Kluyveromyces lactis: one gene and its partner. The protein of the gene in region 1 interacts with the protein of each later gene in a biochemical or structural test. Links are inferred from orthologs where the notes say so. Each region holds a gene or a part of one and is shown in the gene's direction. Other genes may lie near its edges.

Region 1 (3,938 bases):
AGTATCCTCTGAAGAATGATCCCTCCTCTCGATATCGTCTTGTATTGGCATGCTTTCATATTGCGATACGAGATGTTCCGATTCATTATCTTTACTCTCTTCGTCAGGTATGGGATTCTGTACTGCCCTATTCTCATAATCGGTCTTTACACTGTTATATTGTTTGCTTAACGCTTGAAAATCTCGAGCAAATTTATCTTGTGTATCTAGCGAAGTTAAGTCAGCCAGTTTTCGACTAATTTTCTGGATTTCGGGGATTACTCTATTTTTTATATCAACCCTCAATAGTTGTCCGTCCTTGCTTGTCCCTATTAGATGAGCTTTACGCTTGAGTAATTGAATATTCTGTTCTAGTGTTATCAACAAAGGCACCGCATCGTTTCCACTAGAATCTGCACGATTGTCCTCCTTTTTTGGAGTACTATTTTGATAAAAGGACATCAGATGTAACGCGATTATCTTTACGGGTCCTGCTATCAGCTGTTTCCTTAACAGTTATCCTTCCCTTCAGTTAATGATCACAAACCTCAATTTGAGCACTTTAAAATTGAGGACAGTCTTAAACCACAGGTCATGTGATCCATTTTTCTTTCCAAGCCAACGCCAATTGGTTCAACTAATGGAAATTCGTATCATAATATTGAGGAGCGCACACTCTCTAACACTTCAGCGGCTTCACCGTTTAACCACTCAAGTGTTGTCGGTATTCTACTGTCACTCAATCTTTCGCTCGCTTTTCTTCTCATGCACTCTCGCTTTGTCTCAGCGTTGGTGCCATTAAGTTCATAGATTTCGAACGCGTGCTTTGCAGATAGATACAACTTTAAAAAAAAAAAGAACGCGTAAAAGTAAGAACATCTTCATCATCTTCTTCTTGCAACTCAAACCAGGAAAGACAACAAAACTAAATTACTAGGGTAGTTCGTACTGCCACCCTACACTATTAAAACACTAGCTCGGGATGAGTAATGCGAACAAACTTGAACTGCTCAAAAAATTGCAGAAAGCTAGGAATAATAAATCGAATAGGGATGTGCTAGATGAACAACTGGAAGAAGAAAATGTGTATGACTTGATTGACGAGGATCAATATAGGAGTAAGAAAAGACAAGAGTTGTTAAGAGATGATTTTGTTGAAGATGATGATGGCAGTGGATATGTGGATCGTGGTGTAGATGAATGGGATCAAAGTCAGGAGTTCTACTCTGATGAAGACGATGGTGTTGATGCAAAGTCAGGCAAAAAGCGTAATAAGACCAGTAAGAATAACAAAGGTAAGGATACCATCAGCGATATCATAAAGCAACAAAATGTCAAGAGAAAAATGACAATGCCAACAGAAAAACCTAAGAAAGTGTCACTTGCTGAATTTGATGATATTTTGAGTGAATTTGACGCAGAGCCTCTGGTTAAGAAGCCGAAGCTAACGATATCCAGAAAACAACCTGCAAATACTACGCCTATGAACTATAAACACCCTCAGGTAGATACATCCCCACTTAAAGGTAAAGATGTTGTACCTTTTAAAGCTGATAGCGTTAATCCTATCGATTGTGATTCAATGGAAGAGGACCACGATATTGAATCATTATTAAACGATGTGGCTAGTTCTCCTTCAATGAGCAAGCAGAAGACATATCAAAGCGAAGATGACAGTGAAGATGACGAAGATGATATTCACTTTGGTAGAAAAAAATTCAAATCAATAGCTACTCAAAGGCAGATGAATATCAGCGCTCAAACAGCACCATTAACGTCTTCGCCAACATATGTCACTGCTCCTAACACCCCATTGTCAACTTCTACAGGGTCCACACAAGCAACAGAATCAATTTCCGGATCACTGAGACAAAGAATACCTAAAGAGGATGTAGTAGACGCTGAGACCGGTAGTTTTAACTTTTTTTGGACTGATTTTACCGAAGTCAACTCTTCTTTGATTCTCTTTGGTAAAGTTAAAACGAGAAAGAATCAAGTAGTCTCTGCAATGGCGCAAATCAATGGTTTCAATAGAGAGCTGTATTTTCTACCTAAGGAGGGTAAAACAGCGTCTGATGTCCACCAAGAAATTGTACCTCTATTATTGGATAAATATGGCTTACAATCACTTCGCGCTAAGCCTGAAACGAAAAAGTATGCCTTTGAACTTCCAGGAATACCACACGAAGCGGAGTATTTGAAGGTTTTGTTACCTTATGATACTCCTAAATGCAAGTCAATTACTATTCCCGCTGAACTTGAGGGAGATACATTCAGTCACGTCTTCGGTGGTAACCAAAACCTTTTTGAGAGTTTTGTTGTCCAAAGGAAAATCATGGGCCCTTGCTGGCTTAAGATATCAGATGGCGATTTTGATGCAGTTCAAGGCGCTTCGCATTGTGCTATTGAGGTTCAAATTGATTCACCTAATCATATCTCAGCAACGAATGAAAAATCATCTCCGAGCTTGAACTGTATATCATTGTCTATTCAGACCGTCATGAATGCAAAAGAAAACAAGCAGGAAATTGTTGCTATAAGTATGGCTGTCTTCAAAAATTTATCTCAAGATTCATCAATTCCACAAAATCTCAAACCAAATGAAATAGTGACACTAGTAAGGCCTCCACAAGGATCAACTTTTCCACCTCTTCTGGGACCTAAATCAAAGAAAGAATTATCCGGAAATGTGCGTCTCTTCAATAACGAAAAGACGTTATTAAACTGTTTCTGTGCTCTCTTGAAGGTAAATGATCCTGATGTTATAATAGGACATAGATTGGAAGGTGTCATCTTGGATGTTCTGGCACACAGAGCTTATGAGTTAAATATTCCTCAATTTAGTGTCTTTGGGAGAAGACTGCGGAAAGCATGGCCAGACAAGTTTGGAAAACATAATAATAGTATGACACAGTTCATAGTTAGGGATTTATTTGCAGGTAGGTTGTTATGTGACATTTCCAATGAAATGGGTCAGTCACTAACTCCAAAATGTCAAAATTGGGAACTAAACGAAATGTATCAAGTTTCCTGCGGTATTGAAAGAAAATCTCTCGAAATTAATTACCTAAACCCAATATATCAGGAAGATGAATCCCAGATGCTTCTAGCGCTAGGCGAAAACATCGAAAACTCCATTATAACAGCAGAAGTTGCATTCCGCATTCAAATTCTCTCTTTAACCAAACAACTGACTAATTTAGCAGGCAATGGATGGAGACAGACTTTGGGTGGTACAAGAGCTGGTAGAAATGAATATATTTTGCTTCATGAATTTAACAGAAATGATTACATTGTTCCTGATAAAGAAACAAGGCAAATGAAGCAAGACAGACAACAAAAGAATGAAGATCCTATGGAGCCACAAGTGTCCAGTAAAAAATCAAAATATCAGGGTGGGTTGGTCTTTGAACCAGAAAAAGGTTTGCATAAAAACTATATCTTGGTCATGGATTTCAATTCGTTGTACCCATCTATCATTCAAGAGTTTAATATTTGCTTCACTACTGTTGACAGGAATCCACAGGATAATGAAGAACTTCCAGATGTGCCTTCAAGAGAAAAATCACGAGGTGTACTGCCAAGATTATTGGCCAACCTGGTCCAAAGACGTAGAGAAGTGAAAAATCTAATGAAGACTGAAAATGACGCAAGTAAAAAAGCCCAATATGATATCAGGCAGCAAGCTTTGAAGCTTACGGCAAATTCTATGTATGGTTGTTTGGGTTATGTGAACAGTAGATTTTATGCTAAACCGTTAGCAATGTTAGTTACAAATAAGGGGAGAGAAATTCTCATGAACACAAGACAATTAGCGGAGAGTCTGGGTCTAACAGTTGTGTACGGTGATACCGATTCGGTCATGATCAGTACTGGCTGTGACAATTACATGGATGCAATCAAAATTGGTGAAAACTTTAAAAAGCTGGTGAATGAAAGATACAGTTTGCTTGAAATAG
Region 2 (2,859 bases), on another chromosome or scaffold:
TTTGGAGTTCCGATGATGCTAAAAGGGAAAAAGTGACTGTAGAAGTTCCGCATCTTGGTAGTGAAACGGTATCCTTACAGGAATCAGAAATTTTCTCTTCACTTTCAGGATCAACAAGATCAACTAAATCAGCCAATACTTTCAAAACGGCAAATAACGGCATTGCACTAATAGACTATAGTGGGTTCAGGGCATTAGATTCTGTTTTGAGACCATCTCCAATTAAGATTAGTGGATCCTTCATTTCAGCAAAATTTGATCCCTTCAACAGCACTTACGATTTGGAAATTCATGGTCACGCGTCTTCCAGTAACAGATCTTTGATATTTCTGCCGGCATATCATTTCAAACTTGACAACATTATAATGAAATCCTCCTCTGGCCATTTCACTTACGATCCTGAGAGACAGATACTACAGTGGATTCACGAACCTGGCCATCAGTTTTTGAACATTTCTTTAATCAATGTGACAGCAAATGAGGACAGCTGTGTTATCTCATAAAAGGATTAAGCTTTGCTCCCGTACCATATATACACACACATATAAATAGACACATAATAAGTTTGTTCCAGATACTCATCATTCCCACTAGCTCTTCGTGCGGGCCAGTGCATATCTTTGTCATTTGGCGTCATGTGACTTCCTTGGCGTCACATTATCTAAATCGCAGTTTTTATCAAAATTCAAATTGACGCGTTTTGAAACAAGAATCAGATCAAATTCGATGAGTGCTCGAACTGACACTGTCGAGACAATCAACAGGACAAACGCCAAGGGTTTGTGACGGTCTCTGCTAGTGCAATTTCAACTCATATTAACCGCTAACTTTGACATGCCATCCTTAGTTGACGCCGTTGAGCCTGGCTCTTCCACTGTACCATCGTCATCGACTACCCCATATGGAGGTGACACTCCTCCTTCAAATTATGGACCTAGTTCATCAGATATGCAATACTACTATCAACATCTGTATCCTTTTAAGCAGATATTTCAATGGCTGAACCATTCACCTAAACCAGGCCGTGATATCATCAATAGAGAATTCGCGATGGCGTTCAGATCTGGTGCATACAAAAGATATAATTCGTTCAACAGCGTACAGGAGTTCAAAGTACAGATCCAGAAGGCTAATCCAGATAGATTTGAGATCGGTGCAGTGTACAATAAACCGCCAAGGGAGCGCGACTCTTTACTTAAGACTGAGATGAAACCGATGGAGAAAGAATTAGTTTTCGATATCGATATGGATGATTATGATAGTTATAGAACATGTTGTTCTGGGGCACAAGTGTGTCCCAAGTGTTGGCACTTTATTAAATTAGCTATGAAAGTAATCAATTCATCTTTGGAAAATGATTTCGGTTTTGATGAGTTCATTTGGGTTTTCTCTGGTAGACGTGGTGCCCATTGTTGGATTAGTGACAAGAGAGCCAGGGTCATGACGGATTCTCATAGGAAGAACATGTTGGATTATATGAACGTGGTTAGGGATAGAAATATTGAGAAGAGATTGAATTTGGTTAGACCGCTGCATCCACATCTATCAAGATCTCTGGAGATTTTGAAACCTCATTTCGTTGAAATCATTCTAAGGGAACAAGACACTTGGAGAGATGATGAACTAGCGATAAAATCTTTGGCTACCAGTTGTCACGACAAACAGCTATCTGAGCAGCTAAAGAAACTATGGACCAACAAACCTGGAAGATCAAGTGAGGAAAAATGGAAGGACATGGATGTGATAGCGTCTCAGCTAATAAGTAGCTTTCCTAAACAGAGACAACACGATTATTTGCAGAGACTACGCGAGAGTAAAGAAGATATCATCATCCAAACGCTATACCCTAAATTAGATGTGGAAGTCACAAAACAAACCATCCATTTACTCAAGGCTCCATTCTGTATACATCCATCCACTGGTAACGTTTGTGTACCGATTACAGAAGAGTTCTCACCAGAAATGGCACCAAAACTTATAAAATTACAGAACGAAATGGATACTAACGATAATCAAGTGCAACGCACTTCACTACAACCGTACCTAGACATGTTCGGAAAGTATGTCAACAAGTTGGTCAAACAAGAATTATCCTCACAAAAGAGAGACCGTGAAGAAGATATCAAGTCGTCTATTGACTTCTGAATGCCTAATTCAGCTGTCTTGCATGATCAAGCACATATATACATATGTATATTTACAAATAAGAACAATACCTATTTATCGATACTACCTGAAACAAAACAGTAAAATAAAAAACATTCAACAAGTGTATTCTTAGTTACTATCACCCCACAATTGGCGCCTAGCTTGGGCTTCATTCCTGCGAATAAAACGCTTTGTCTGTTTCTCTCTCTGTGTATTGTCACCTTTCATACAGTGGAAAACCTTTAAATGATGTTTGAAAATGTTTAACTAAAATACAATTGACAAAAAGAACATACACTTACGGTGGCAAACCTTTATCAGGGAGGAAACAGGGAAATATAGGGTCTATCGACAGTGAAAAGAGTCAAAGTTTATACTAAATCTCCCAATGGATGTTCTATTAGGTATAAGAGTCAAGGATTCGGTGATATTGGCCTCTTCAAAGGCTGTAACTAGGGGTATTTCAATTTTGAAAGATTCAGATGACAAGACCAGACAATTACTCCCTCACACACTAATGTCGTTCTCTGGTGAAGCTGGTGATACAGTACAGTTTGCTGAATATATCCAGGCTAATATGCAATTGTATTTGATTAGAGAAAATTATGAATTGTCTCCTCATGCGGCATCGAGTTTTGTTAGAACAGAATTGGCTAAATCCCTAAGATCGAGGAAACCATTCCAAGTTAACGTATTAATCGGTGGTTATGA

Evidence for each region.
Region 2: the proteins of POL1 (region 1) and PRI1 are reported together in a solved structure, tested with the Saccharomyces cerevisiae proteins (2 studies listed by BioGRID, with this or other methods). The link is inferred for Kluyveromyces lactis from reciprocal best matches to the Saccharomyces cerevisiae genes POL1 and PRI1.

The regions. Positions count from the first base shown.
Region 1 is NC_006039.1:1,129,368-1,133,305, forward strand, and holds the start of POL1 (DNA-directed DNA polymerase alpha catalytic subunit POL1), read left to right. Parts: upstream 1-961; coding exon 962-3,938. Other genes in the region: SNAP receptor VAM3, read right to left, coding at 1-441. UniProt on the Saccharomyces cerevisiae protein: Catalytic component of DNA polymerase alpha, which in complex with DNA primase (DNA polymerase alpha:primase) constitutes a replicative polymerase. POL1 has a role in promoting telomere replication during interaction with CDC13.
Region 2 is NC_006038.1:1,024,530-1,027,388, reverse strand, and holds PRI1 (DNA primase subunit PRI1), read left to right. Parts: upstream 1-834; coding exon 835-2,145; downstream 2,146-2,859. Other genes in the region: EGH1 (hydrolase), read left to right, coding at 1-503; PRE1 (proteasome core particle subunit beta 4), read left to right, coding at 2,537-2,859. UniProt on the Saccharomyces cerevisiae protein: DNA primase is the polymerase that synthesizes small RNA primers for the Okazaki fragments made during discontinuous DNA replication. In a complex with DNA polymerase alpha (DNA polymerase alpha:primase) constitutes a replicative polymerase.